Oreochromis niloticus: one gene and its partners. The protein of the gene in region 2 binds, or shares a complex with, the protein of the main gene of each other region. Links are inferred from orthologs where the notes say so. Each region holds a gene or a part of one and is shown on either strand. Other genes may lie near its edges.

Region 1 (3,755 bases), on a different chromosome or scaffold from region 2:
GTTAGTCACAGTAAACCCATCAGCAGATAAACCGGAGCAGCTGGGCTACGTAAAAAGTGAAGGGGGGCGTGTTCACGGTCACGTCCAGTAGGTGTGTGTGCAGGAGAGTGACACAGCTATTCCACCTCGAGTCACTACTGCACAGACTCTGGCTCCAAACATGCAACATGGTAGCTTGTTTGACTTCATTTTTGTACTATGGGAGGAAGTGCAGCCAGATCGTGCATCTTTTCTACAGTCATTTGTTGTGAAGGGAGAAGAAAAAATGCTGTCCCATAATTCATTGCAATGGACCATCCTACCATTCATGAAAACCCACCAACATAATAACCAAAGTTGCACAGAAATGGTCATTTATAAGTGCATTTAGCCCTTCTTGCCACAACCTGCTGATGTATTAAAACATTACAAATACACTTACTCAGCATTGTGGAGATGTTTGATACTGCCCAGAACACCTGGGATTGTTCATTTAAAGAGGATTTCTTTTTCAAAATAACCATCAATTGCCTGTGTCTATTACCTATGTGTCTATTAGGAAACCTGGCTGAGTTTCCTAATATACTCACATCTTGAGAGGATGTTATTTAGTCCATTTGATCAAATCGGTGGCAGAACAAATTCTCATTAAAGCAACAAGTTCGCTTATGAAGTGCTCTGTAGTTATCACAGTGTTCACCGCTCCTCGTTGTAAATCTTGTTTGTTATTTTTAACCCAGATCAGGAAACAAGCCATTGTGATGATATTACATTATATTGAGGAGGCAGCTGCCCACTAAACTGTGTCTAACACCAGTTAATGTGGGCATGTTTCCTAAATCAGCAGCAGACGTTAGACAGCTGACAGGTGAACAGGATGCATGCATGACTGAGGGTCCTTCAAGCTGATCGGCAGTGTCATAAAGAAAATGTCAGCTTGTTATTTATGTTACAGAAAGACAGAGGAACAAGAACGGCGGCAGACTTTTTTATTTTTAAATTAAGATCATTTAATTGTTGCCTGAAGCTAATGTTGAGACACGTATGCATTTGTACAGCTGGAGATGTTGCCCTTTCTTGCCAAGGTCTTTAATCTTGTGAAACCGTAAGACACACTGGCAGAGTGAGAAGACCATTTGATCTGCGGAACATAGAGAGTTAACGTAAATACCAGTTAACCTGGAACGCTGGAGTCCAATTCCTTGTTTGTGGGCACAAATAAAGATGTTTCTGATCTCAGTTCATTTCTGTCCCAGTGAAAACTGAGAAACTATAAGGCTCACCTCTAAACACTCATCATGAGGGCTCAGTGAAAAGGTTTTGGACAGCTGGCCAAGTTTTGACCCTGCCAGAACAGCTTTGAGCCATGCACGCAAAGTGCAACTATCATAATCACGACAGACATAAGACATGATTTATGTTCGGCGTTAAAGAGTTTGTGCAATTTACTGCAAACTGCACAACATTTTTCATTCCCATTTCCGTGACTCATTTAAATATTCTTCTCCCGAAAGTGAAAGTCATAAAAATACATATGTTTAAAGTTTAAAAAAAAAATAAAAAATAAAAATTACGTGTTATTGCTGTGGGTTGCACACGACCAGCATACTTCCTATGTTTCTTAAAGTCAACCTTCAAAATCAGCCGATTAAATAGTCCCCTTGATCACTAATATTACAAAGCAGTTAACTACAACGCTGAACACGCAGACGTGTCCTTAATTACGTGTGTAACGTCAAATAACTCCGCAACACGAAAAGTACAGGGACAGAGCCAGCCGGTACAGTTTCAACAGACAGATGGTTTGCTCTGAATGCCAAAGAGTTTTAAAATAAATAAATAAAGCATCCCACACAACAGGAAGAACTCCGAAAAAATACTAAATAAAGGTGCCAGTGTAAACATTTAGATTGGGACGGAGGCTAATAACAGTTAAGCTAATTAAGAAACATTAAAGTGTTGGATTCTAGCTGTAGGATTTATCCTAGGGTTCCGAAAGCTGTAGAAGTTGTTTTGGGATCAGGCTTACCTGGACTCTTAAGGTTGTATTTGCTCTCCATCCTTGAAGAAACTGGGCACTGTCTTGAAGTTGTATTGTTTTCGTTTTCAAATACCTAGCTTTCAAATATTAGCGTTAGCTTCGCTTAGCAGCCCGGCTAGCTTGCTTCGTTCTTAAATCTGAGCGATACAGCTCAAACCGTACGTCCCGCTCTCGCACCGGAGCTCCAGTCTGCAAGTGGGGCAGGACGTGTTTCAGTAATGAGGGGATATTTTTCAACTTCTCTGCTGTTTAGGTTTTGAAACGGTTTCTCTAACCTTATCGACGTGACGTCATTTACGGAACGTAAACAGGAAGTGAAATCTGAGGCTACGCAAGGAGTGCGCACATCACTGTTAGAAACGGTAATGGCATTAGTCTGGAAGCAAATCATTACCGAAAGACTAGAATTGTATTAGCAACAGGAAAGTGAAAGATTTAGATATAATACTGGTGATGGCCAAATGAAGCGTTCCGAAGTACTGAAGCTTTAGTTCGCTACTCGAAGCTTTTCAACACTGTCCTCTTTAGTAACATCTGGTGGCCGGAAATATGAAGAGCAGCTTAAATCAAGAACATATTCAACCTGCTTCATTATGATTGGCCGCTCTACAGAACTTCTGTTTCATGTGACAGTACTGTGTGATATCGGGCTGATATGGTGCTTTGAATATGTGTTTTTTGGGTGAAAAAATAATGTTATGTCTATTTTATTAGATGAATAAACTTTCCTTGTTTAAACATGTGCCGTGTGTCTTCTCCTTTTTCTTGTGACTTCTTGTTGTTTTTTACTAATAAAAAATACACTATATATAACAATGTACAGCACAATCTTACAATAGGTTGGGAGTATGCTTGTGCTGCGAGGTCCCTGCCTCCATGTGATTATGTAATTAACAAGTGGACAGGTACGTTTATATATAATATACTCTAACTTCCATAAGACATTTGAGATGGCAGTTTCAGAATAGTGTTTGGCTGTTTATAAATTTCAGTGGGAGAAATGTTTCGTCACGTGACTTCTTCATTCTCAGCTGACTGCAGGTTTCCCCAGTCTTATAAACAGTACCTTTGCACAATGACTGAAACCAGCCCACTGAATGAACAATGGGCTGGGATGTCAGTTCCTTCATCATTAATATGCAAATTGTAAAATTGTCATGACCATTGATCAACAACCACTGATCCAAGACCACTGATCATTGATCATAGGCCACTAATCAATGGCTATGAGTACCATTCAGAGAGAGTTGGGGAATGGCTGCAATCACAGCATTGTAAGATGGTGAAAGGTGTACCCTGTGGCCTGCTCGTCAATTCAGAGATGGTCTTTCCCTTTTCACATAAGGGTTGTTTGGTTTCCCCGATATATAAATCATGGCAATCCTCCCAGTACTTAACAGCGTACACTACATTACTCTGTTTGTGTCGGCGTAACCGATCCTTGGGGTGGGCCAATTTTTGGCACAGCGTGTTTTGGGTCTTAAAAGCCACAGAGACATGGTGTTTAGAAAAAATGCTTCTCAACTGTTCTGATACTCCTGACACAGAAGAGGTCACTACGGGTTTTCGCTTAGGCAGCAGTTGTCCTTCTGTCCTGGATTAGGTGGAGCTTTCTTTAGGTGCCTTCCCAGCTTTGACAAACATCCAGCTCGGATAACCACATTTACTCAGGGCCTTTTTGAAGTGATATTCTTCTGCTTCCCTGGCCGCTGTGTCTGTGGGGATGGTGTTCGCT
Region 2 (3,755 bases):
AGCACCATGCCAGTGGGGCGGAGAGGAGTGTGTCCCAGCACACTCTACCTGGCGTGGCTCGACTTTTTGTCACGTGATCTGAGACCTCCAGTCCTTCTGGTCAGAGGAAACCAGGAAAACGTTCTCACCTTCTACTGCCAGTAGCATCTCCAGTGAGACCAATGGACATATATGAAACCAGTTATCCTGACATTACAACACCTTTCAGGCCACAGAAGACATTTATTTTTCCATAGATTTATTTCTTGTAATTTAATTTTCAGGTATTAGTGAATTGTAATTTCTTCAGTAATGAGCACATGAAATGATTTGTTACATTTTGATTAACTCTGATCACAAAAATTAGTGAAAAGATGTCTACTGTACAGTGTCCTCTATGTTTATCAGTTAGGGTCCCTTCATGCTAATGTTGCACTCTCCACTTCATAATATACAATAAAAAATAATAAATATAGCTAACATACACATTCATGGGAATATGAGGTTGAAATAATTATGCAAGTCTTTGTTTTTGATTGCATTTGACTTTTTTTAATCTTTCTATTTATGGATTTGTGGCACAGGAGCAATGGTCTCCTATAGCTTTGCCATCAGTCTAATTTAACTTTGTAAATAAAGTCTTCAGTACTCTTTTTAATATTAAGGTACAATATTAAGGTAATGAGGTACAATGGGAACACACGGTATCACATCATGTCCTTGTTGTAACTCTCTTGTGGTTAAACCAACGAGCTATGTAATAAATCGATCAATAAATTAATAAATACTTGTATTTGTAAGTATATGCATATAATCAAAACATGATACAGTATTAAAAATGTTTAAAGGTGCTGTTATCTGGTTGTTTTTTCACAACAGTATTTATATTCCGATGTTTTGCTCAGATATGTCGTTAACATCTTGTGGCTCCGTTCACTTTTCTGGATAAATCTTGTGGGAATATGTGAAAGTTTACAGCTGATGTAACAAGCCTGATGTAACTTCAGCTCAGATAGTTTTGCTTCTATTATCAGAGACGGAAGCTCACATGAGCTCTCACTGTGCTGTGCTTTTGCCGTTTTAGAAAACGGCAAAAGCAAAACCTTGAAAGCTCACAGGAAGGGTACAAAAGAAAACATACAAATGTTTCACTTTGGTGGTGTGTGTTCGGTTTTTGCTTGGACTTTATCCCGGGTCTAAGCGCGTTTATCTCTGCTTTTCGATACCTTATCAAATGGCGTCGGAGTGTGGGTTATTCCTAAATAAACGATCTTTGGAAGCGTAATCAATAACTGCGCATGCTCAAACTGTGAATATTCTGCAAACCTCCACGTCTGAGCACGAGCAGACGGTAGCCAATCAGGAGCGGCCACAGTGTGTTTGGAAACAACATTCCTCCTCTAAAGTCCCGTATGAGGACCAGCGGAGACACTTCTAGATCCACCCAGGTCACCGCAGTTTCTCTTTAACATAAAACGCACTTTCCCCCGGCCGTTCTTCGTGTTAGTGAGTCCAGCGGGTCACGGAGACATCCTGTTTTTCTAGCTCACACACCGCCATTACACCCGGAGCTCGAACCGACAGACGGTAAAAATGGATGCAGGAAATTCTGAACAAAAGACGATCACTCTCATCATAAAGACGCCCAACCAGGCTCAGGAGGACCGGACCATCGAGGGAGTGAGCCTGCAGTGGACCATAAAGGAGCTGAAAGCGCACCTGTCCGCTGTCTACCCGACCAAACCGGTGAGTTTACACAGAGAGCGGCGGAGCTATTCGCGGCTGTGCTGTGGAATGTGATGAGAGTAAAAACGAGCTGTCAGCCATTTCCCGGGTCACGCGCGTGTATATGCGCGCGCTCACACGAAACCAGCACAGCGTGCCTGCGAGTCACACGAGCTCGAGCTCGCAGTCACGTCATTTTTTCTGTTTAATTAATAAACTGATTGAGTGACACACCTGCAGTGAACACGTGTTTATGTCTGTCTGTTGTTTTGGTACAGACGATGGAGGTGTTTTTGTATCTCTCTGTAGATATGTCTCTGAAATAAGTACAACTTCACGGGAACATTCGTGTTATTCAGACCACATCCAGAGGTGTGTCTTGGGCAGGGGGGCTGCACATGTCAAACATCAGTTTTGGACAGGGAGCAGAGAAGGATCTACGCTTCAGTGGAGGCGTAGTGATGGCAGCTGTAGCCAGGCAGTGGACTGAAAATGTTCAAATGAGGAGCCAGGTTTCGGTCTGTTTACCCAAATGTTGTGGGAACTTGGCCATGTGTTTCTGGTTACGAAATGTTCTCATCGAAATCAAAGGGGAGGTGAGACAGAGAGGGTCTTCATCTTCTTTGATGAAAACAGTGCTGTGGTAGGCTCACAGCACACAAACACTTTTTCAGCTTTAATATTGGGACATCCCCTGATATGTCTCAGATTGCACCGTAGAGATGATTTACTGCAGCCTGGAACCTGCAGTGAATAAAGTGTCATCTTTATTCTTTCTTTTGATACTAAGAATTCTTTTTTTTTGTTGTTGTTGTTTTTTTACTACAATTAGATATCATTTCCAGGTGTCAATTATAAGTCTGTGTGATCTACTGTAAACAAATTACTCGACTTTGGCCATATTTCATGGTTTCAGTTTAGTACCTTAAAAAAAACAAGCTCCCCCACCAAACCCAAAGCAGCAAGGAGATCTGATCCGTTACTGACTTTATTCTTGTTTCGTCTCCAGGCTGTGAGTGACCAGAGGCTGATCTACGCTGGCAAACTGCTGCCTGATAACCTGCACATTAATGGACTCTTCATACAGGTGTGTATGACAGCACGAGCTTTCATGTCAAGTGGTAAATGTCACAAGCTGATTATGTGCCACTATGCTGGAGACAAACTGGTGGAAAAGGGCTGCTTTTATCTCGCTGCTGCTTGTAGGAGAATAAGGAAGTACACAGTAGTTACTGAGACGTGTGAAAGGGCTGTGCCACAAAAACTAGGACAGACTATTTCATGTTTTTTTGTTCAAGAATCCCAGTAGAGGCTCATACTGCCTGAGCAGGCATGATAGATGTAAGACAATACCAACCGTGCACAAAGGAGCTGTCAGCCATTTATTCTGTGAACCAATCAGCATAGAGCTGTAGAAAACCTGCGCGCAAGCTTTGGAGCTTATGCGGCCTTGATTTTGTGGGCCTGTCCCCACTTCATTATAAAGTAGAAAAACAAAACAAAGCTCATCTTACTGTCTGTCAGCGTTGGGAGCAGCCGGGAGGAACCACTATAGAAAAGAGTGCAACAGAGGGACAGCTCAGACTGAGAAGGTTGAGAGCTGAGGCTGAGATGGTTTGGACACGTTCAGGGGGGACAATAGCAGATCTGTTGGACAAAGGATGATGAAGATGGTGCTGCGAGGTAGGAGGAAAAGAAAAGGACCTCAGTGAGGATTCATGGCTGTAGTGAAGGAGGCCAGGGATAGGGTGAGATGGAGATATAAACTGAAATTTCAGTTGTATACAGCACAATGCCACTGTAACGAAACAAAATAACCGTGGACTTTTTTTTGTTTGTTTGTTTTCTGTAAAAATCACTGATTTGGCATAGTTTCAGTTTTTTTCCTCCCATGGTCATCCACAGTTTGAGAACCACTGGCTACACTGAGTAGACCCAAACCCAGCAGAAGAGCTTCATACCGTACCAGAGCCATGCTTCCCTCACTGTAAGGGTCAAGAGTGCAGTTTTTTTTCCTTTCATTTGTCACTGGTTATCAGACACACACACAC
Region 3 (3,755 bases), on a different chromosome or scaffold from region 2:
CCGAAATTATCTTTAAACAGCACTTCTAATATGCTGAAAAACATCTCCAGAACAAAGACATAGTGTGTATTTAGTTATTTTACCACCATGTTATGTCTAAAATGAAAAATAAAAAAAATCTCATGCCTATCCCCTCCCCTGTCTATCACAGAAGCTTTCAAACGTTCAGCCAGAGCTGAGAAATAACAACCCCCGAAAAAAAAATCTCCTGCCGAAGACGGAGACACGGGCCTTTAAAGCAGCACCCCACTGTAGAAAAAATCAAATAACCCCACAGCTCACCTCAGTTAAGACGCACACTGCAGACTCTTTCACCTCCCTGCTGCACGGAGCTCGCCCCTCTCTCACGGATCTGTTCCTCGGAGGTCTTGAAAATGGAATTATGTGGGGGGAAGCGGCGCAGAGACGGAGCGGCCGCGCATCGCAACACTGCAGGCTGTTGGACGGATGCTCCCCCTGCAGCAACAGCGGCTGCGGCGCAGCGGCGAGCGCACCGATTTCACCGCTACACCAGACCCATCAGTGGTCTGTCAGCTGAGCACGCACACACACAGACACAGAGGAGAGGATACCACTGAACTGACTGCACGATTTCTCAAAAAAAGTAGAATTATGATCAAACAGTAACATTTATGTCTACATACGTGTTTAGATTGGTGCGTGGGTGTGTGGTGGGCGTCTGTTCACACAGCCGATAAATATTGTACTGCTTATTCAGCTTCTACAGTATCACACCCTCTGTCCTCCCCTCCTTTCTGGTATTCTGTTAAGGAATGCTTTCTTTCTTCAAGGAATTGTCTTGATTTTTCCCTCACCAGATATTTAAACCCAGAACTGCACTTTTCGCTCAGCTCGGTGTGTACGTTTTGGGTGTCATATGAATCATTTTATCGTTTTGTCATCATTGTACCTAATTGTCAATGTAAACCTTTAAAATCAGTTACTTCGGACTGTTTTGCATCAAAACAAAATGAAACAAACGAAGAACCCCCCCCCAAACTCGTGATTGTTATTTGGCCATGCGACAGGCCGCCTTGTCTTCGTGCTTAAGTGTGAGCCTATTTCATCGCAAGTCAGGCGGTGACAGCGGAGATGTGGGCCATTATCAGTCATTGGCCGTTATTCATTAGCATGCTATATATAGCACAAACACGCCGTTCATTGACTGTCCGCTGGTATGAAAACCAAACGCACCCCAGAACTGGGGAAAAACTTTGATTGACTTGGAAATTGGCCAATGACAAAGCAGGGCTTTTCACCTCGACCAATCCGCTGCTACCATGTCAGGCATTCTGTGTGTTGTTGCTGTCAGACAGGGGTAAGAGGCGAGAGTCAATGATGGCTGCTTCCTTGGTTTGGTTGTTAAAGAGACTGTACGTTTTCTTGTTGGCATGTCCCCTCTGTGTCCCGGGCTTCTTGAATTTGGAGGAGCTTAATGAGATGAAATATGGGATTCAGATTCTTCCCGATCCTGTCATCCTGGGGCAGGTGAGTCAGGAAATGCTAACGGATATAGCTTGTTAGCTTAAATATGAGCTAGCGTTATTTATTTACTATTAATAGTGTCAAATAATTCACACAGCGTGAGACCTGATGTCATAAAAGCACAAAACATATGAAAATAAATCTTATAAAATTACATGAAGACTAGTAATTCTCAGGTGAAGTACGCAGCATGCTGTGACAGCTGTTATGTTCATTGCCACAGGTCTATAAGTAACTAGCTGAAAGTAAAGCCCTATGGGCTCAAAATGTGGTCATAAATATTTTGTACTTGTAAATCAGGATTTGTATGTGTAAAAAGAATTTGTGTGTGCGTAAAAAAGATTTGTATGTGTAAAAAGAATTTGTGTGTGCGTAAAAAAGATTTGTATGTGTAAAAAGACTTTGGGTGTGCATAAAAAAGATTTGTTTGTGGACTTAGCCAAAAACCCCTGCAAGTTACAAGTACGAATTTTGACCCTATTTTTCTTCCTTTCATCTGATTGGTCAATGTCATGTCAATCACAAATGTAACAATCCAATCAGAGAACAGATGGGTTTGGCTGTCGGAGGGGCACTTTTTTTGAACTGCAGGTCTTTGAAGGGAATAAATGCCCTTTTACATGCCAACCCAGTGTTTTCCTTCATCACCACGAAGGAAAACAGTCTGTGGTCGTCCGAGTTTGGTGACTTTTGTGTCACAGGTCTACGTGTTTAATACAGGGACTTCCACAGCCTTTTCGACAGCGCTGCGGACCGCGGGGGGGGGGGCGGGCAGTGTTTTGGAAATGACAGTCTTCATTACAAAGCTTTCTTCGTTATGAATTAGCATACATGTTTTTATTGAACATTCGAAGAACTAGCAAAAAAAAAACCCCCAGAAACTCTTGTAGAGGACATAAAGTCAGAGATAGAAACGACAAGGAGCAGGTGCATCTAGTACAGGTAGAGCTGCTGCAAAAAACCACAGAGCCCAGCAACCAGCGCAACAAATTCTGGATCCTTTGCGTTTAGTTAGCATTAGCAGCACATCCTGTGCTCGATGTGAAAGGACTTTTATGCTGCTCACTGTGACTCACAGCAATGGTCCCGGGTCAGCCCTGACTTTGTGTTAAACTAATCCTAAAGTAATAATGGTATGTCTAACCACTGGCATACCACAACTTTATCCTTTCAACAGCTGCTGAAAGTTAGCGGACCTAGCTGCTATCGGATATTTATATAGAGATCCTCCAGCTTCAAACTGTATTACCCTTCAAGGACCTGCAGTTCAAAAAAGTGCCCCTCCGACAGCCAAACCCATCTGTTCTCTGATTGGATTGTTACATTTGTGATTGACATGACATTGAACAATCAGATGAAAGGAAGAAAAATAGAGTCAAAATTCGTACTTGTAACTTGCAGGGGTTTTTTTTGGCTAAGTCCACACACAAATCTTTTTTACGCACACACAAATTCTTTTTACACATACAAATCTTTTTTACGCACACACAAATTCTTTTTACACATACAAATCTTTTTTACACACACACAAATTCTTTTTACACATACAAATCCTGATTTACAAGTACAAAACTGATTTACAAGTACAAAATATTTATGACCACATTTTGAGCCCATAGAAAGCCGCAAGCCATGTTTTTATCTGTCTGCACTCAAGTAATGCATTGGTAATGTGTGCCCATGTGTGTCAACATTAAATTCGCCCCCTTTTCCATGCCTGTCTTACGTTTGTAGACTAAGACAGAGGAGGTTATGATGGTGTCCAGTAAGTACAAACAGCTCTATGAGTGTCGACTTCCAGCCCAGGCTGTGCGTTTTCATCAGGATCCCGCCACTGAGCCTGACTCGGAGGGTTACACTGGGCCAGATATCCCAGACCTGCTCAAGCCCATGCACAATGCCCCATGTCTAGTCAAGGTTGGTCTTTAACTACTTATCTGTGTAATCCAACAGTGAAATGCTTAAGCTGTTTATACTGTGATGTGGCTACAAAAATAATACAACAATAAGAACAAGAGCAAAACACACTGGAAGTGACTGTAAGTTAAGTATATTTGCCAGCTTAAGTAAGCTATTTGAAAGACACACGTGAATGCACCAGAAGCTTGCCAAAACAACACTGGGAGGCTCTTGATTCAGTATTCACTGGATTAAAGGTTGCTTGTCTGCATCAGTGACTGGGTACAAAAGCAGTATATCTAAGAGACAAACATCTGTTAATGTACCTGTGTTTTCAATTGTTCAGCTTAATGTGTTAATTTAAGGTTTAC

The links.
Region 1: herpud1 (region 2) and ube2j1 share a complex: the UniProt entries of both Homo sapiens proteins name them as parts of the HRD1 complex. The link is inferred for Oreochromis niloticus from reciprocal best matches to the Homo sapiens genes HERPUD1 and UBE2J1.
Region 3: herpud1 (region 2) and os9 share a complex: the UniProt entries of both Homo sapiens proteins name them as parts of the HRD1 complex. The link is inferred for Oreochromis niloticus from reciprocal best matches to the Homo sapiens genes HERPUD1 and OS9.

The regions. Positions count from the first base shown.
Region 1 is NC_031980.2:28,188,572-28,192,326, forward strand, and holds the start of ube2j1 (ubiquitin-conjugating enzyme E2 J1), read right to left. Parts: upstream 2,506-3,755; 5' UTR 2,040-2,505; coding exon 2,009-2,039; intron 1-2,008. UniProt on the Homo sapiens protein: Catalyzes the covalent attachment of ubiquitin to other proteins. Functions in the selective degradation of misfolded membrane proteins from the endoplasmic reticulum (ERAD) and is essential for cells to recover from ER stress.
Region 2 is NC_031972.2:2,340,005-2,343,759, reverse strand, and holds the start of herpud1 (homocysteine-responsive endoplasmic reticulum-resident ubiquitin-like domain member 1 protein), read left to right. Parts: upstream 1-1,314; 5' UTR 1,315-1,572; coding exon 1,573-1,725; intron 1,726-2,713; coding exon 2,714-2,791; intron 2,792-3,755. Other genes in the region: slc12a3 (solute carrier family 12 member 3), read left to right, coding at 3-144. UniProt on the Homo sapiens protein: Component of the endoplasmic reticulum quality control (ERQC) system also called ER-associated degradation (ERAD) involved in ubiquitin-dependent degradation of misfolded endoplasmic reticulum proteins.
Region 3 is NC_031970.2:23,295,352-23,299,106, forward strand, and holds the start of os9 (protein OS-9), read left to right. Parts: upstream 1-1,160; 5' UTR 1,161-1,335; coding exon 1,336-1,488; intron 1,489-3,219; coding exon 3,220-3,402; intron 3,403-3,755. UniProt on the Homo sapiens protein: Lectin component of the HRD1 complex, which functions in endoplasmic reticulum (ER) quality control and ER-associated degradation (ERAD).